2 linked regions of the Neodiprion lecontei genome follow. The protein of the gene in region 2 interacts with the protein of the main gene of each other region in a pairwise test. Links are inferred from orthologs where the notes say so. Each region holds a gene or a part of one and is shown on either strand. Other genes may lie near its edges.

Region 1 (9,236 bases), on a different chromosome or scaffold from region 2:
TTCAAAAACCAGGCATCTTTCATCATCGTACCATTTTCAGAATAAAATGGAAGCAAATTGACGTGAAGATGGTTTGTTTTGGAGTATTGAACTTTAAAAAATTCACCCTCCGTAGCTTTTTCCCAAATGAATCCCTGGTTATCTGTTACCGGCTTGTTCCTAGCTCTGGCCAACCACGGAGACCTCATAATATCGTCACGATTCAATCCTACGTCAACTTGATGACCCCATGGTAATATATCTCCATTTCTCATCGCCCCTAGCAGCGAATCTCCTTCAATCCAGAACCGAATGCCAACTTCTTCCAGCTTATCAAATACATGATGGGCTACTCTTCTCAGGCCCGTTAAACAACAGGGAGGTGTGTATCGGTTTTGATAAAGGTAGGATGGTATTCCATTAACAACGGATCCGAAACATCTTGGGGTCTCTCGAGAACAGCCGTACCATTCGACAGACCCGGATACGCGCGTCACTTTTTTTATCCCTAATTTCTCGAACATTTCACGTTCTCGACTTCGAGATAACTGCTCCACCTTCCACTGTGCTTGATGGCTACGAAATAGTGGCTTCCCTTCGTTGAAATGATGATCGTTCATTATATGCACCTGAGAAAAGAAGGCACATTCCAGAATTTCAGTGCAATACATGAAGCATGTGAAGCTTCTCACATCAAACTGGCCCCTTTCATCTTATTGATTTCGAAAAAATCTCAAGGGCATTAAATCAAATTACTCCAATAAAGAGTACAAGTGAGAAAAGTGACCTGCTACTCCTGCTAGAGGTAAGAAGCTCCACATGTTCCTGTTCTGAAAGAGTACGAACAGATCTATCTGTTAAGAATCAAGTTTAGATGAAAACCAAACGATATATTCTCACCATATCGATACCAAATTTCTTTGGTGTTGGTGATAAGAATTTCATCAATTCAGAACATAATGTATATTACGTAGGTGAATTAAAATAATATAATGGTTGTACTTACCAGAAAGCAAGCTCTGAATCTAAATACATGCATAACAAGCACATACCGAGAATGTGTAGCGTCCAAATAGATAACAAAAATCGATGTAACACTAAAAATAAACCGCAACATTTCCGACTATATTACGATGTACGTGGCTAAAAATAATTATTACATTGGGCGTGATGTAGATTACATTTGGTAAGGGAAGATACTGCAGGCAATTTTGCATTCAACTATTATCGTAGTAATTTCATCAGCTATTACGGTATAAGCAATGAAATCGTCAGTCTATGTAAATATCCATAACTACATGTAGTACCGCTAGATGCTAGGTGGGAAAGAATTTCCTACGCTTTTAGTGATCAGAGAAAAAATAATGTTGGTTAAATATTACAATACTCAACATGTTTGATAATTGTAAAAGTCATAGAATCGCATACCTTAGCTCCCAACGCCGTAGTCTGGATGTAGAAAGCATCTGTGAATGGCAGAATGAATGGATCGGATAATTTCCTCAACGTTCTAGCTTCAATCATAGTACCGTGACGTCCGATTATAGAATCACACGTGGATCCGTCGATATTCGACATTTCTAGGCTCCACTCTTTTACTCGCAGTGCCATCCCAATGCAACTTAAAGGATTGGCACCGACTGGCACCGAAACAGCCCCCAACTTTGACGCCTGGATAATCATACTCTGGAACAGTGAAAATGTTCAACTTATGTAATCATCGCATAATAGAGGTAAAAAATTATTAGCTGTTGAAACAGTTGGACATCATAAAATCATGAATGGAATAAAATTTATGGGACGTGATAAATAGTATTAAAATATGAGACAAACATCACAGAAGTTTATACTCAAGTTCACTCATCTAAGTTTGCGCACACTTCGATGATTTTTCTTACTGAGTTTAGTAAAGTAAGTAACAACTCGAGAAGCGTACCTGCAATACTTGTTTGGTGCTCAATCTGGTAGCATCGGGAAGGAATAGAACGAATTTTGTTCTGATGAAAAAGAGGGGATTCCTTTCGTCGAAGGACTTGTTAAAATTGAGTTGGAGATTGATTAGCTTCACGTATCGCATTGTATTATTTTTGAAGTCCAGTTCCAGCGGCGGATAGGGAAGCTGGTCGCATATTATCAAAATGGGAATTAACGGAAAGGCGGTCATCACGGACTCGACCGTGGCAGAGACGTCATTTTCGAATGTTTCAAATTGACGGATAACAATCGTCACTGACCGCGCTAAACCTCGATGAACCTTTTGGGATGTTTCGACCGTCGAGGCGGCCGGCGTCGCCGTCAGAGAGACGCTCGGAGCCGCGAATAATCTCCATATTCTATGCCACACGACTATATTACCAACCAACGCGAGCACCAGTAATATTTTAACCAGTTTGAGACGCATATTTTACTAAGAAAAACTCGATTTACTCAACAATTCCATGATTAGAACGGATATTTGACAGGTCGCTTCGTTTTCGTATCAACGATAACAACCAACAGACGACGCAACATTAACGGTCATGCTTTGCCGGGACTCGCTAGTCCTTGGCGCGGATTTTCAACTTTGACTACTTTACAATGTGAGAATTGATTGATGAAACTTGTTTTTGACGACGTGATTTACGAATACATTTATTACTTCAAAAACGAACCGTATGAAAAAGTGTTCGATTAATCACTGGGGTACTGTTTTTAACGAAAAAAGAAACATTTTTACAACACGTACGAGCGTTGACTGAGGATAATCTTCAGTCAACGGTACAAGCAATGTGTACGAGACATTTTTCGCGCAGAATTATTATTGCCAAATTCGTACCCCTGGGCATATTTTCGTGCAAAGTACTCAATGGGTAATTTGGCGATCAGGTAGCTTCTTTACCGAAAGGAGCCGTCAATTACTCCGTGCCATTAGGCACACAAAACCGCATTATGGTTGCCGTTTTTAATATTCTTCAGACGAGGTCAAGTTACAGCCATACTTATGCACCTTATACATAAACATGTAAGGTATTGTTACACGTTTGTATTAAAAGATCAATTTTTAAATTAGGGTATCTGTTACTCCATGACACTGGTGGAAAACCTGATAGTACATAGTACAAGGACTACGGCCAATAGATATTAAATGCATTCAATATAGAATATTTTTTCAGTAATCTTTATTTTACAGTTGGCTGTAGAGGAAAATATAATGAATTTTTAAAAATGTTAATGTTATGGCTTGTACGGTTTCACCAAGTTCTCGGAAAATTCTTTTATATGCTGAACTCCGCGAACTTCGCGTTCCAGCAATGGCAGTTTCGTCACGTGGAAGTCCTCGTACAAATCTGTAATCTTTGAATCGACGAGAGTAGTTAGATCAAAGTAGTTAAAAGTATGAAAAAATATTGAAACGAATTTTTCCAATTATACGCTATAGAAATTATAAATTGGAAAAATGATACGACGAGAGGTCAACGAATTACCTGATCTAAATGCTTATCCTGAATTTTGTGCCTGGCTTGGCAGAGTCTGCAAGGCACATCGCCTTCTTTTAGGAATAACAATTGGTTTACAATAACGTTGTGAGTGTCAATGCCGCATTTTGTTAACTCTTGAACTAGTCTTTCCGTTTCATAGAGGGACAAAAATTCGGCTATACAAACACAGATGAAAGTTGTTTGTTCTGGGTCCCGGAATTGGTCGTTCACTTGACGAATCACTGCCAGCATTTCTTCCATTTTATTTGAAAATGTATCGACGTTGATATCCGACATACCCAACAATGAACCTATCTGTAAAAAGTTAAGTCCATTTTATTAAGATGATCTGTTTAGCTGTATGATTGAACACGATAATTGATTTCTATTGCACATACCTGAGATATGAAGGGACTGATTTTCATTTTCAGTCTCATTAATTTTCCTAAACCCTTCTCTACAACTTGTGGAAAGGACAACAACCTCAGAGTGTGACCGGTTGGCGCCGTATCAAATACAACAACCGAAAAGTTCATTGCTTTCACAAGCCTGAAAAAGGTATGAACAAAATTAAAGCAATGATTTCTTGTCACCATACACGATTTGTCGATTGTGTAGAAAACATTTGACTTTCTACAATAATTACTTCGACATATTTTGAGACTTGGAGTTAAAAAAGTTTACTCACTTCATTACTTCGGCGTAGCTCATAGCTTCATCTATTCCAGGAAAGGCGCCGACTATCTCCTGCATCACGCTTCTGCTCAAACGTATCGCTTCTCCTCCTATGACTCCTAAAAATTGTTGAGAAGGTAAATTCAGTTGAATATATTCCATTTTCAAAATAATTCCGATATTGACTAACCGGCTTCGCCTTCAAAATATTCTTCAGGCAGTTCTGTGATACCAACATTGGGGTCAATTTCCATGGCAAATAGATTATCAAATCCTTTTACTTTAGTGGGTACTTTGCTGAATTTCTGATCAAACGCATCTGAGATGTTGTGCGCAGGATCTGTGGAAATGATCAAGACGTTCTCGCGAACTTTAGCTAGTTGAATGGCCAAGGAGCAGCTGTATTGAAAAAAGAATTAGAGATACAATTATCGGTTTATGAATGTCATTTTAACCGGACAACTATTTTCCTACGATATTTTCTCCCTCATGTATAGGTTATGTACACATCACCTGCATGTTGTTTTCCCAACGCCTCCTTTTCCGCCGACGAATATCCATCTCAACGATCGTTGATCAATCACGTTTCGCACGGACGCTTCCAGCGGCTCAAATTCGACATTCGCAGCCATATTTTTCAATCTCTGATTAACTCAAAAATCGAAATGTCACCCGTCACGACAAACTAATTTCGCAGTTTCGCTGCTTGCGCTCAAGCGTCACGCTCTGCGCCAATCTTTCACAGCTGATGCTAATGACAGTTGTTCCCAACTTGTGCTCAACTGTTACAGTGATAAACACAGATGCTCAAACAATGATGCAATCAATATATCTATGCTTTTACGAATCCTGTATTGCGTTTGAATTCATGTCAAACAAGTTTTATTGAAGAATGAAACCTTATTAGCCATTGTACAATGACGGTATCATTCCATTTTATGAGTTACGAAGCCGTGAGATTCATTGACCGAAAGCTAATTCCGCTATATTTTACAATTCATCCCTGGCTAAAATGACCGTCCCGATTGCGAATTGAGTTCCTTGAGACACTGTACTGGAACTAAATAAAAGAAAAATAATGCATTTCGACTTTTACTCGGATAGCCAAAAACTCGCTCCACATTTTGAAATCATAAAATTGAAAATACATCTAAATCTACCTCCACTACAGTACGATTAAAGTTCGTTGTGAACTCGACCCATCTCTGGACTTTGAGCGAAATTCGACATAACACAGCTAGGTATTATAATATCATTCAGGTATATTCATCAAAATAAATGCGGTTTCAACCGCGACACTTGCAAACACAAATTGAATCGTGAACTAAAATTACGCGTCTAAGTTACAAAATGTTAACATTGTGAATTTTTTAAAAAGTAGAATGCGATTTTAGCACGGCATTTTTTTTTTTCATCAAATCAAATGCGTCATCGCGCCTGCAGGTTTGTCTCTCCGAATATCCCCTGAGTTGCCATGGAAACGGGCGGTAGGTATAAGACTGTAAACAATACAATACATAACGCACCCGCATATCGAATGGTTTAAAAATGTTTTTCATACACGATCCGTTTGTTCGTTATTTATTTTTCTCCGTTATTTTAGAAAATATTTTCCAAGTAAACACGTATCCGAACGGGGAGTTGTTTCAATACGTTACTCCTAGTATGTGCAAAAGAGGGGAATATTTCAACGTTGGATCATTAATTTGCACAGCTTGTGACACGACGAAGAACCTCGAACCCTCCAAAGACCGCAAGTTTAATTTATTGCCTAATTTATTGATATTTTAGGGAGCATGGTGTAATTTCTTCATTTTTGTTTTATTATATACTATCAATTATTTGTACTTTCAATAAATTAAAATGATGTGTAAACTTTTTCCAACTTATACTTTCGACCTGTCTCATTCATTGTATAAAATACAGTTAATAAATGAATCTGAAAAAAGTTGTAAAATTTTGAATTCACCATTACAGGACTTGATTGTGTTTGCAATAAACAAAGTAGGTTTGTCAATTTTGAAAATGGTAATCCGACCTGTGAGCCGTGTGGCCCTGACAGGATTCCCACAATTGACGGACTGGACTGCGTTCCATGTTCTGATGCTAGTACTAATAGTAGCTGCGAATGTTCGCTGACTGAAGTCAGATGTGAGAAACTGTTTTACCTCTTTGTGTATAGTATAAAGAACAACTGAATATTGAGAACATAAAATTACGTCGATATTTTTAGTGGAACGAGACATTAATGGGACTCTTTTGAATAACGTAAGATGCATTCCATGTCCAGAGAACTCCTATCCATCGCCAGATGGAACGAGTTGCATACCGTGTAGAAAAAAATCATTCAGGAGTCACATCAATTGCCCCTGCCCATTAGTTTCACATTTGAAAATCAAAGAGTACTGTATTAAGAAAAATGGGATAATGGAATGGCCTGATGTGAGAAGTACGTACTTAGTCAAATACGAAAGCCAACATATCGACAGTTATTACTTTAGAAATGAGCTACAACTAGCCGTTTACCTGTGTAAAGTAAGTATTCACTGATCGGTATTCTTGGTATTGCTTTCTCGGAGGAATGCGAAAAAATTCACACAATAGCATGGAGTGAAGATTCTCCCAAAGATTCGAAAGATGAACAATTTAAAATTGAACCAGCGGTGCATAAATAACTTCATTTGTAATAATTATTGAAATTCATCACACTAGAATTTTGTATTTGTTTTCAGAATGGAAACAAAACAGCTTGCGAGCATATGGCAAATATGTGCACCCTGACTTTATTTACATCTTTGATACCATGTAAATTATTTTGGGATAAACATAACTCTCCTTTATGGCTGTACTATGGAGAAGGTGAAGCCCCAACAGTTCTCAATCGTAAAAAAATTTCACAGCAGTATAGTCTGGATGTAGAGAGTAATGTACGTAGAGAATGAAACGAAATTGTATGAAAAAAAACTCATTTGTTGGCACTATGTCGTTAATGACTTTTTTTTATTTCACCACAGAGTAGCAGGTTGAATATTACATTTGCCACATTTTCAATGAATGGACAATATCAATCGATCTCAGCACCAACTTTAATCTGCGACTTGTTCAAAAATATCAGATTTGGTATTAATATTGAAAAGTCGTGTGCAACAACTGCCAAAATACTCAATGATATAAGAATGGAGTTTTTTGAACCATATCTTGGATACAGAGAGGGCGACAAAATGATTTTATACGCACTGCCGGTTCTGATAAGAAATACAAATAAGGTGAGATGGTTAAGACATTTTTCATAATTAAGGATAAAGGCAGCAAAAAATGCCCAAGTCTCTTCTTCATCTTTGCGGCACTGTTTAGGATGAAATTGATGCTTCTCGATGGCAACTGGTAAGGAGATTTTTCTTTACTGATACTATAGCTGGCATTAAAGCCTTGCCAACGTCGTTAGGCACTGCTTTTAAGAGAGAAGAATATCCAACTGTTGTGAGATATGCTAAATCTATTAATATTTTGTGAGTATTGCCTCGTTTTTTGAAAATGTGTGTGCTGTGTTGCAAAAATTTACTGTCATATACTGAGTAATTTTTTTCAATCATTCAGAATCAAAGTGCAGAATAAAGAAGAGAAGGGAAAAATATTCCCACCGTTACTTATGATAGAATATGGTGAATTGCTAAACGAACATGTGCGTCAAAACGTTGAGGTGCAAATTAGCTATAAAATCACTTACATATTGGCAGATAACGACATGTACAATGCCATAGAGGTAAACAAGTTTATTTTCAAGTAATAACGAACGCACAATTTTGTTTGCCTAAAATAATCTTTAATTAATCACTCGAGCACATCATTCATTCTTCTGATCAAATTTTTATGCATTTCAGGTGTCTACAGGCGTTTTGTCGAGTTTAGCAGTTGCTTTTGCCGCAATCAAGGCATGGAGCCATTGTAAACGAAATGGCAGTGAAGTTCCAAATACCTCCACGTTTTTCTGGTTTTTTATATTTTGCTGCGGTTTACTAGGAAACGTATTTATATTCGTAGTTTTCTGCGCCAGTGCTTACATGTTCATCTTTTTTAAAGGGCAGACCGTGATGCATGTTTTATTACCGAGCGAGGCCAACGAGGAGACTGTCAGAATATTCGTGATCGTTGCATTCTCTTTAAAAGTGAATAATGATATATTTTCATTCTTTACAAATCTGTCTGACAATTTTGAAAGGTTACTGCACCAATTATGTTTGCAGCTTGTTGAGATAATGGGACTCGTCTATCAGATTAGAAACATTGACATGTTTTTCATTGATTGGGAACAACCGAGGTCTGTTCAAAGCCAACCAAAGTACGATTCACCTCGTACATCTCTAAAGAAATTGTACGCTAATAGATTCTCTGGTGAAAAACGTAGCTCACCAAAAACACCATCAGAAATAATATCAGCTAGTAGAAACAAAACACCGCACAAATTGAGTAGCATTAATACCCCGAGCAGGCGATCAAGACTCTCGATTCAGAGTGATTTAAACGATTCGAATCTCCCCAATCAATCAGGTGGAGATATTTTCTCTATGGGAGATACTGCTGATCGTACCGATCAAAAAAAATTGCCAGTTAGTATTTGGCGAACTTATTTCATCGCTAATGAATGGTACAAAATTCAAACAATCAGAAAAGTAAATATGCTTGTACAAGGCATTGCAACACTGTTCATTTTAGAGGTCAGTAAAATTTATATGAGCTTTTTGGTAAAAATTGTTGCACGAATTGTTAAATAAATTATGTACAACATTTTATTCCCACAGGTTGTTAATGTTAAATTCTGGGCACGTTCAGATCCAGAACTTAGCATTCGTGCTGTAGAGTCAACTTTGCAGGAAAGAGAAAGCTTTACGCTAAAATTTGCTGTTGGTACCTTAGTATATATGTTTGTATACCTTGTACAATGGCTGACAATGGTTATATTTTATAACAGATACGTCAAGAATCATATCAAAGAATTCATTGACTTATGTTCAATGGCAAATATCAGTATATTTATTCTTTCTCAGAACCATTACGGATATTATATTCATGGAAGGTATGGTTCATCAATTTGTTACAAAATTCATACTTGTGTGAATACAAAGT
Region 2 (11,756 bases):
ATGCCGGTGAGGAAAGCAAATAATGTCGGGTATTCTAACAATAAGCGTTAAATTTGTTTGATCATTTTTTTTCTTGACCGTACTGACAGCCGATATTCACACGCATTGTTGCAATTCTACACTTCGATGCAATATTTGTAGTAGATGCAGTTTAGCCTATAACGTAGATAATTAGTGTGACAGCGATGTGAACTTATCTTTAAGACGGTCAGTGTGACGAAATAATTGTTTTTAACGCGCTCGTTTGCGATTATGTGTGTTTTCGAAAGTGCAACAACAATAATCGGTTATTGTGCAAACTTTGATAAGGGCGTCTCTGCGATAATCATTATACCTATATGTATTATAATTATGATTATTTGCGCAAAACAAATGTCGAAAGTTGTGCTAACGTGAGTTATTACATGTGTGACGCTTGTTTGCGCTCTGTTCCGATTTTACATTCTCACTATCGGCGATAAAACTCGCGCGTAATCTTACGTTTAAGTTTCACGTAAGAAGATTTCACATATTCACGACCTCTTCGTGTCGCTTGGAGAGTTGGGGTTATCTCACTTGAACTCCATCAGTTTCCCTTAACTAGGCATTATAATACAACGGGTACCGCAAATTTCCTACCATTTAGCAATCAATCTTTGACGAATATCGCACGTTACTGGCACGTTTTTTTTTCGCTACATAACTACTTCCATATTTTTTTCCGTTCGAAGCACGTGTCCGTACGCAGCAAGACGTGTGAAAAGCAACAGGTTATTGTTCATTTCGTGATATTCTTTGACGGAAATTAAATGTGATCAATTAAATTTTCATGTGCAAGTTATAATGTCATTTGAACGAAAAGGAAAGAAAAAATTATGAAACTTGTTTTTTCATTTCTATTAAATCTGAGAATTTCATTTCTAGGACAATATGTCGAGCACTATTCACAAAAACTTATGGGACACGGATTACGAGCTGTTCGATTTAATGAAAAAGGAGAAAAAGCGACAAGAGTGTGGGCTGGAAATGATTGCGAGTGAAAATTTTACCTCTCTTAGCGTACTCCAATGCCTCGGATCTTGCCTAGGAAATAAATACAGCGAAGGTCTTCCGGGACAGAGGTGAATAAATTAATTTGACTTCCAAATTCTCCTCTTTTGTACCTGGAACTATGTGAAATCGTTAGAACATAATTTTATTTTCTTCAATTGTACACTAATAATTTTTCACTTTTTCAGATATTACGGTGGAAACGAATTCATTGATCAAATTGAATTACTTGCTCAAAAACGTGCCTTAGAAGCTTACAATCTAAATCCAGAAGAATGGGGATGCAATGTTCAACCGTACTCCGGCAGTCCGGCCAATTTTGCTGTCTACACTGGTCTGGTTGAACCCCATGGGCGTATAATGGGTCTAGATCTCCCCGACGGAGGGCATCTAACACATGGTTAACAAAAATTCCTTAAACGTATTTATGAGGAGCAGTAATTTTCTGTTATAAAGAAAAATTTTACATTACCATTTTATTTATAAATCTACCTTCAATGTTTCATAGGATTTTTCACCGAAACCAAGAAAATCTCTGCAACATCGATATTCTTTGAGTCGATGCCTTACAAGGTGAATCCTGAAACAGGATACATAGACTACGATAAACTTGAAGAGACTGCAAGATTGTTCAAGCCAAAGATAATTATAGCCGGTATATCGTGCTATAGCAGGTGTTTGGACTATAAACGTTTTAGGGAAATTGCTGATCAACATGGAGCGTATCTCTTCAGCGATATGTCGCATATTTCTGGGCTTGTTGCTGCAGGTGTTATTCCTAGCCCGTTTGAATACAGCGATGTTGTTTCTACTACAACTCATAAGACGCTCAGGTACAGCAATTAAATTGTTGTAAACAAATTTTAACATTTGTATAAATCAGACAGTCAGATATAATGTTTATTTAATTACAGAGGGCCACGTGCCGGTGTAATTTTCTTCCGGAAAGGCGTTAGAAGTACAAATAAGAAGGGTGAAAAGATTTTGTATGATCTGGAGACCAGAATAAATCAGGCTGTGTTTCCCGGCCTGCAAGGTGGCCCACATAATCATCAAATTGCTGCCATTGCCACAACAATGAAACAGGCTAAGTCTCCCGAGTTCATTGCTTATCAAAAACAAGTATTAGCTAATGCAAAAAGACTCTCGGACAGTCTTCAAAAACTTGGTTACAAAATTAGCAGTGGTGGCACCGACGTGCATCTCATCTTAGTTGATCTGAGTTCCACTGGTATCAGCGGAGCCAAAGCTGAGAGGATACTAGAAGATATTGGAATCGCATGCAACAAAAATACAGTTCCTGGGGATAAAAGTGCATTGAATCCAAACGGTATCAGGCTTGGAACACCGGCTTTGACTACTAGGGGTTTCAAGGAAGCTGAAATTGATAAAGCTGTTAATTTCATTCATTCAGGTAAGTTCTATCAGTTTCACTATCACTTACGTTTGAATTTGAGTTAGCTTGGCGAAGCGTTCAAAGTTATGCTCCAGCTTTGACAATATCGACTCACAGGCTGTTAATACTATTTCCCATTTTCAGGTATAGAACTGGCTAAAGAAGTCACGGCTATATCTGGACTTAAGCTCCCGGAATTTAAAAGGGTATTAGATACTGATGTGGCAATAAAGGTAAAGGTCCAAGCACTTCGTACAGAAGTAGAAAAATTTGCCTCACAATTCCCCATGCCAGGTCTGAAAGAGTATTAAACATGTGTATCCAAAAGAGATACAGCTAGATAGATTTCTACTAACAAGAAAGATCAGTTCGGTGTCCGCCTCCGATTTAGTTACAACTCATGTATATTTGTAGAACATTAAAAAAGGTTTCATTCATGAATAGGAACATTTCAGCATTGGTTTCATTCAAACACATCGTGTACATCAAGAAATTACCATGTTGGGTTTCCATCTTTGGGGATCGTTTTCATCCCTTCAAACCGTTTTTCCGCTGATAAAACAAAGGTGTGTTTTAGTTTTCAATGTTCTACAACATACACGAGTTGCATCAAATTCGAAGGGGGATATCAAATTGGTTCCTGGTAAGATATATCATTTACAATGATTAATACTAAATGATAATATAATTGGAAAATATTTTCGTTTGAGAAAAGAGCAGGTTGGAATATAGATCTACGTCTCATAATTTTAATATTGAGTCATGTTCAATATAACGTACATAAAAATTTTTCCATATTGTAACTCCCGCTCAATCATACTAGAAAGACTTACAATCAAGCAGTGAGCTACTTTTAAAAAAATCGAGGTTTGCTTTGATAGATATAATTCCGTAGTTTTCCTATACATACAATAGTGGTCTAAATTATATTTTTATTTCTTTGTATAAAAATCAAAATCATTTCCCAAACCTGTGCAGTAACGTTACCTACAATTATAATATCACCAATTATTTTATAAGAAATTAACGTTATTTACCTTCTGTATCTATCATGTAGGACTAGTTTTTTTTTTTTTTGGAATAACATTTAAGAGTTAATATTTTATAGTTAAAACTTATGTATGCATTAAAATTGTAAAGGATTGCGAAGAAGGAATTGTTTTTATTGAAATTGCATGTAAATGGCTTACGAGATAAAAAGTATTTAATATCCGAGCTAAAAATCCTCGATAAAAGTCTCATGTTTATATTTTTTATACTGAAAAATAAAATACACAAATAAAAACCACCTGTTAGTATTTTACAGTTTTTTAAGGTTAATAACGAATTCTGTATGTGAAAAGATAGTGGATTATCATTTTGTATTTTTATTTTTAATATGTTAAGGATCTAGAATTTGTTTTTCCTCAATTAAATAGATTATTATGCCACTGTCGGAGATTAATTTTAATTCACGTAATAAAGCATTATAGTATTTCATACTAAATATTAACTGTTGCGTAATTGAGCTTTTGCTACACGCTATACTACTGTAAAATATATTTGCTCGTATCTCTTAACACTGTTTTAACTTACTTTGGAAAGATTCTCAGCCTGTACATTGATTGCTCAAATGATGTGTTATCTAAAATTTGTTTTACAAATTACATAGATGCTTTTTTAAGCATTCTTCTACTGCGCCCTAAAATTGTTAATATTTCGATAAACCAGAAGTTAATACAAACTCGTAAATATCGGATTCGTTTCAATGCGTAAATTAATATAATTTTAAATCCTATCATATGACAGAAACAGCATCAGCAATCGATAGATCAGAAAAAAGACTAATTATTTTCATGAAGTAAAAGATTGGAAGTAAATCGAAAAAGTCGAACAAGTAAAGTGGACCTTGTTCGCACTAATAAAAATCTATATACACAATACCAGTCAAGTATTCATAAAATTACATGCTATATTGAATAAGAGACGAGATGAAAAAAATTTGCCATTGAAAGGTATGTACTGCAATAATTATTACTTTTGTACATTATTTAAGTTGACTCATAGTTTGACATCTTACAGCTTACTAAAATTGATAATAATATACAATGTCTAAAATAGTCAATATTCTGACGTCGGATGTGTGAACTAGCCTTGTACTTTGATTTTGACGTTTCTTTACATTATTCGTTAGTAGATGAATATTATTCAGCTTTGTCACGTGTCTTCACTTTAACTAATCACATGTGGTATTAGTGCAGTTTATATTTTTAAGAAAAAATTATTATGCTAAATATTTTTTCCTTTTATTTCTCACATTATTCAGAGTATACAAAATAACACTTTAAACCGATCGTATCACTTCCAAAATGTACACGGTTATTACTATAAGTTTTCTTTAGAGCCAGATTTCAAAAAGGGCACATTAGATATTATATGCTTTGCCTCCTGAATGTGGAATATCGAGTTTTAGAATAACTATCTCATTTTAAATCGCTTAGTTTCGCGTATTTATAAGCTAATTTGTTAGCACACTGTTTAGTATAAAAAAAAACCTAAAAATCTCACATGTTTGTCAATAGATTATTAGAAACGTAAACGGCGAAAAATAAAGTAAAATAAAGTCATACAAACTGAATGGGCATCGACCATGAATTTATGTTTTTTATATATATTATTATTTTGAAGAATTGAAATTTACGCAAAAATAAATAAAATTCTGTACACTGCTTCTACAATCCATATAGGTACAATGATGAATACGTAAGAATGCATATTCAGATATAAATAAATCTCTAAATGTAAGCATTTTACAACCCTTCGAATGTTCATCAATATGTACCTATGTATATTATTATATATTTATATATCTTAGAGTGGGTTCTTATTTGGGGGTCTGAAATATTTTCATTGCAATGCCCCCCAGACCTGTTCCAAATCATATAAAAAATTTGTGTAGTTTCAAGCCGTTACATCACTGATACACGTGCCTCTGCGAGTTTGGGTTTTCCCATTCAGGTAAAAAAAAACGTATCCTTTCTTAATTTTTAAGTTGTTTTAGTTGCAGTGGCTTGAAAATTTACAGATTTTTTTAAAATGATTGTGAACAGGTCTGCGGAGCGTTGCAGCAAAACTTTTATCGACTTCCAAACAAGGACCACCCTAATATATATAAGTATTTGAATGGATGAAGAATGCTAAAAATGAGAACAATAAACTGCTACATTACGCTAGATTTAATATGTATATGTATGTATACCCACTTCAGCAGACCCTTATGGCATCTCAAATCTCTGTAAGCTCTTTTAGTTCATCTCATACAAAGCTTAAAAACATTCCCTTTCCAATTAGTCTAATTCTTGTGCCACGTGCGATGTCGTAGGAGCATTTCGCTGATCATCGTCTGAATCTTCTTCTTCCAGACCGTTGAAAAACGATTGTAACAGTGAACCAAATAATCCTTGACTTGGTGCCCGTGGCGGTGATACATTAAAGAACACTTGACCTATTTTATCCAAGTATTGTCTATAGAGCGGGTCTCTGTTCAGGCTTAACTGGTACTGCTCACACAAAACTGTGAAAGCGGCCAGCTTACCACTGTATTTACAAAAATTTTAAAAAGTTAAAATGTTTTTGATTTCTGGTGAATATGTTGAAATCTTTTAACTGCCTATAGTCATTCATAGCATTAACAATCAAAAATTCTCATAATATCTTGAAAGACAGCAAGTGAAATTTGTAAATTTAAAATGAGACCAAGTATTTCAAAGGCAAGAATATCCAATACAATTGTTACGATATTGCTGGATTATTGTGATGAGGAATGTATCATGTTAGTGTATGATTAACTATATTGCTAATTTATTAATATAACATGTCAGCAAAACTTACGTTTCAATGGTTTTCAGTAAGAAGAATAAAAAATTCAACAACGGCAGAAAGTACGGTGGACCACTATTTATTTTTGGGTGTTTCAAAGTATATGAATGAAACGCTTCTTCTGCTGTGGTTTTATTTCTCAAACATAAGTACCTGGAAATCAATGAAGTACAATATAATAAGAGCGTAACAATTCTTTTACTATTTTATAATGTACATGTGAGCAAACAATTCGGGTATCTTTTACAAAACTCTTGTATGAAGTATAATTTCACTCAATGACTTACTGTAAGACGGCTTGCACAATGAAAAGATCTATTTCACTCGAGTATCCACGCTCTTCGTGAAGTTCAACAAGCATCGCAGCACAACCAGATCCATCACTACTATATAAAAAGTGTTGCCTGGCCATTATGTAGTTTTTCTCTGTATTTAAAAAGATATAAATATGATATGAGAGATTGACTGCGAGAGCTTCTATGCACAATGAAGTAGCGGTATAGTTTCACAATGTACAATTTCAATGAATCTGTCTATCTGTTATGAAAGAAATATTTAATACACAGATCTGATTCTTATCACTTGAGTATACCTTTCCAGAATACTTGTGCTATTCGCTGATGAAAATCAGGGTGACCCGTTTTATAATCGGACCCCTTTAAGCTCCACCTTAGCGCTTCTAAAAGAAACGTTTCCCTTTCTGGTGCTGTAGGGTTCATCAAGCTGAATAAATTCGTCAGTTTTTCGAAATATACTTGCGAAGGCTCAGTTTCTGACTTGACTAGAGCATCGACAAATAATGTTCCAAGATCAGCGCCACTTGCTTGCTGAAAGAAAAATTAAACAATCAGTGTTGCTCATGTTCTTAAATATGTAATGCATGCCTGTCGTAGATTAAATATATGGGAATTGCAGAATAAATGTGAAAATCATTCAAGCATTTATTTTGCATATCTGCTACAGCAATGCTACTTCATAACTTTGGTAACATTTGGAAATCCAATGCAAGAGATGGCAAGACTTCTACCACTTGTGACTAATCACTGAATGCTCCAATGAACATTCAACATACATGCATATGCAAATGTTAAAATTTGGAAGGCACTTTGTATTGATGCAAATACATTAAAGTAGATAAATTAGTACCTGATCATGTTGTAGGAGTAACGTTGATCCATTGTACAGTAATTCCAGTAATTCCGAATACTTTCTTTGTCCAAGGTACCTAAAGAGAGGTTAAGTTGCAATTACGTAGCACTTGAAAGTGGTTAGAATATATAAACTATATGAATAATTGTCGGCTTACCTAAAGTGCAAAGTCCTGTACATCTGATGTGCTTCATAATAGTTTCCGGAGTTGACAGACGCTTCTAATTTGGCTAAAACTCTCAGAACACCGAGACTGCCTCGGGAGGCCATGTTTATGCTAGTTAGGGACTTTTTTCAATTGAGTCTCGAGTCGAGTTATGTTGGTAACATTGGAATTATGACTCAGGACTACTCATGATGAACAATTGCCGCGGCAAAATCACTAGGCAAAACGTCGGTATGACGGAATAATTTTTGTATAAAAATTTGAATCATTCGCCCATGTTACTCGTGAATTATGTTGACCAAATCACTAATTGACGAATTAAAAAATACTGCAAGATCACTTGGCAATTGTTGCGGAGTATTTGTTTTTGTTTCAGTGGCATAATTGTATAGAATCACTTTCTGGCGCAAGAAAAGCCGATATTTCAAACATTGATAGAGATCGGTAAACAGATTTAACAAGGTAATTGTTTAGAAAATTGGGGTTTATAAAACCACTTTACACATTTATACTGTACTATGTTAAAATACTTTGGCCAGAGATTAGGAGACAATTGAAATTGCATATATTACAGTAAACCGTAGTTCAGATATTAGCTCATATGTATAGTCTAGACATCACACCAGCAAGCGTAATAACGAATTGATGATGTCAATTTTTTAAAGAGTTTCATTTGAAAATAATTCAAATAAATTGAATTCCGTTATTGAATCACCTAATTTTTATACAACCGAAAGCCGAATAAAATATAAATAAATATATAAGCCATTAGCAAATTCATTTTCATTTCAAACACAATCTCAAAGAGTCAAGAAATGATTATCATTACATTGTACCAAGTTATTGATTCGAACAACTTCTTACATACCTAATATTTTATATCGTCGACTTAAACTCATCTTTTTCTTCCGTAACATCAGATCGTTGATCAGAATTAGGAGCGCTAATATTAAATGAGTCAGAACGACACGCAGTGAAAACTAGTTGAAACTAGTGCGGGGTCTATAAATATGATTACACTTCACATATCACATGATTTATGAATATAAAAGATAAAATCAACATAACAGGGGCTTGATATTAAATTTCTAGAATTAAAGAGGCTGTCTCCATGTACAATATTTATTGGGAATATGAAAATGTCTTCAAAATTTTCGTATTTATGCTGTTTCAATGAGGAAACACTGCGCATTTGATAAACAATTTATGCACATTTTTATAATAATATAAGTCATTTCATTCACCTCACTACAAGGTTTAAGTCTGATTAGATTTTTTTTATTCGTAAAAAAAGGCAGACAGTGCTAATACAAGATTATTAAACGTACAAGGTTGTCACCGTCAAAATAGTAATTTTAATTTAAAAACATCTGGTCGCTATGGGAATTATCAAATCGCATACAGTGCTTGATATTACTTTAAAACCATCCTCGTCCATTTTGGCGTCGGTTTCTAAAGCATTTTCATTTCTACAGTTTCAAAATTTACTATCACCGATACAAGTTCATTTTAAAATGATGAAACAACCTTTCCCGCGTCTAGTAATCTTGTTTCATGTGTCTCATTAATTTCCGTGTTCTTTTATTCTTGAAATTTTATACCTATATCTTAAAATTTAACTTTTTAAAATATTTTTTAAGACTCATTTCATTTACTTTGAATTCAATCATTTCTTGACATGGTGTTTGATAACAATCGAAATCGATTGTTTTCAAGAATTGATTTGACAACTTATATGTTACAGTTAAATTGCAATGTAAATACTCATGAGCAAATGATAATTTCTTCAAAATTCATATCCAAGATGATAATTAGGAAGCTAATAGCCGGTTTAGTTCGTATTAAAGGCTATAGTTGATTTTTCACATCTCATGCATAATAGCGAAATTATGTTTAGTCCTTTATCAATCGTTTCTCCGTAAAGATATGAATGAGGCGTTCAACTTTACAGTGCAACTAAATTAAACGGACCGCTTGATTATTTATTGGACGATTGGCACGAAACAGACTTGACGCTGTCCGCACGTGTTTATGTACATGTTTAATATAACTATGTAACCATATACAACCATGTACAAGATTTCAAATCTTCCATCACGGTGTTTTATTAGGCAATACTTTATAAACTTCGCTCTGTGACTGCAATGACTTCCTTTCACAAAAATTTGAACGAAATTTATTCTTTTACATGCATTTTTACTGTTAAAAGAATAATTATCGTGCACAATTAAGAGTAGCATCCTCGTAAATCGATTGAATATATTATTATGTACCATTCTATCATTCATTAAATAACACGTAATTGAAAAGAAAATTTTTCCTTTTCTCCCACATGATTTTGAACAGTTTTCCAAATTTTATTATATAAGGTATAAGTAATAAGTAGGATGAGCGCTGAATACCAGTGAGAAAAATGAAGCAGTTTTATGATTGCAGGCTTTCAGACCTTACTATTAAAAAAATAATTCTATTTCTATCTTTGAAAGCAATGACACCGTTTTGCATATTTCAAAAATAATTTATTTGTACTTATGCTATCTAGGTTTTTCTCATAGTTTTCAATACTTTGAGTAGAAACTACTTCTCTATGTCTCAAGAAAAAATTATCCTACTTCGATATACATCAAATAGGATTGTACGAATCACACATTTTTACATTTTATATTTCCCCCTATACCAAAGGACAACAATTTGTACATCGTATTGAATGAAATTGAGAACAGCATGAAAATGGTTCGCTGGAGGAGAACCCTCGATTTCTTTTAAACAATATTCGTAATTACGGTTATGAGAACTTTCTAAAGCACGTCATATTGTCTGGTAAATTTCCAACTATTGATGAAGAATTCATATTGCTAATTAAGCGCTAAACACTGAATACTTTTTGATATTAAAATTTCACAGAACTTCATTGTGTTAATTTTTTTCATCAAGTTTTCAGCACTCTTCCCTGTTTTTCATAATTTTAGGCCCTCGCAAAGATAGCTTTAAAATGGTTAAAAGCCAAGCCTTTTCAGTAAAAACCAAACCGGCTGACTTGATTGAATAAGTAAATATTGATGGCGCAGCAATATATAAAAATATCAATGTATCCCACACTACAGCATGAGCTAAGGCTCTTAATATCTATTATTCTTCTGTAGTTTGCTCACCTCCTTATACTTCGTTTGTGTTTATATTATTGGTAGTTTTTATATTAATAATTAATATTAGTTCAATCCATAATAATATTTAATAATAACAATACGGACATTGCCGGTTCTTATATTTTACAATTATTCTTCTCTTCACCGTGTGATTGTTTCACTGAAGCTACAAAAATCACGTTTCCATGAATTCGCCTAGCTATGTATGTGCCGATGGTGACAAGCTCTTTAATAAAATTCGCAAATAGATTATAAAAAAAAAAAAGTACGAAATATGAAGTAAAATGGAAAACGAAAATGTCAACGATTATTATATTCAATACACTATAAAGTTCTGTACTTATGAGCGTTACAGACTTCGTGTTTTTTTCTTTCTTTCTTTTTTTTTTTTCTTGGAAGACGAGATGACAACCAGTATTTTAGTGTATTGTATCAGAGCAAGAGTAGAGTAACTAACTTCTTTCTATCGATATACCTTACACATGAATAGGAATATTCGATGCTTTTTTAGATTTACAAACTGATTTTTCATCCCTGTCTGGTATTGTCACAACTTCAGCCGTGATCTGATAATTGTCATAAATACTTCTGCAATCAATTTTTAGGGCACAATGTGGCTGGTTTGATATTTTTTTTATAAAGAAATCAAAAGATATTCATATCAATTGTCTTCTTATAGACTACATTCTTCAAAAAATCTATGTAAATTAATTTACTCTCCCTGTGTTCTATCACAGAAAGTTTTCACGTATTATTTTTTCTTTTTCTTTTTTCTCTTTCTAATGAACATAAAGATGCTCCAAAGTACAGAACATACAGTGAAAATTATTACAAATAAACAGTTTCGTAGTAAATTAGTATTTTAATGAGAATAAAATAAGAAACAGTACAATATTGATTTAATAATTATAAATTGTTGTGGAACACTATCTATTTGCTTTACTCAATATGTTTCATCTATTACCCATCAATTCAATGATAATAATAATAATAATAATCATAATTAGCGTTA

The links.
Region 1: the proteins of Golgi to ER traffic protein 4 homolog (region 2) and ATPase ASNA1 homolog interact in binary tests that used the Homo sapiens proteins (3 or more experiments, as listed by UniProt). The link is inferred for Neodiprion lecontei from reciprocal best matches to the Homo sapiens genes GET4 and GET3.

Annotation. Positions count from the first base shown.
Region 1 is NC_060260.1:37,174,107-37,183,342, reverse strand, and holds ATPase ASNA1 homolog, read right to left. Parts: upstream 4,871-9,236; 5' UTR 4,745-4,870; coding exon 4,626-4,744; intron 4,512-4,625; coding exon 4,303-4,511; intron 4,232-4,302; coding exon 4,126-4,231; intron 3,987-4,125; coding exon 3,836-3,986; intron 3,753-3,835; coding exon 3,444-3,752; intron 3,313-3,443; coding exon 3,193-3,312; 3' UTR 3,121-3,192; downstream 1-3,120. Other genes in the region: fukutin-related protein, read right to left, coding at 1-608, 1,408-1,665, 1,916-2,380; meckelin, read left to right, coding at 6,540-6,647, 6,845-7,039, 7,127-7,378, 7,467-7,621, 7,710-7,875, 7,994-8,278, 8,357-8,827, 8,912-9,186.
Region 2 is NC_060261.1:8,437,116-8,448,871, reverse strand, and holds Golgi to ER traffic protein 4 homolog, read right to left. Parts: upstream 7,749-11,756; 5' UTR 7,703-7,748; coding exon 7,590-7,702; intron 7,509-7,589; coding exon 7,430-7,508; intron 7,111-7,429; coding exon 6,876-7,110; intron 6,710-6,875; coding exon 6,571-6,709; intron 6,437-6,570; coding exon 6,296-6,436; intron 6,002-6,295; coding exon 5,752-6,001; 3' UTR 3,504-5,751; downstream 1-3,503. Other genes in the region: serine hydroxymethyltransferase, read left to right, coding at 1-6, 904-1,100, 1,218-1,429, 1,538-1,862, 1,944-2,443, 2,570-2,736. UniProt on the Homo sapiens protein: As part of a cytosolic protein quality control complex, the BAG6/BAT3 complex, maintains misfolded and hydrophobic patches-containing proteins in a soluble state and participates in their proper delivery to the endoplasmic reticulum or alternatively can promote their sorting to the proteasome where they undergo degradation.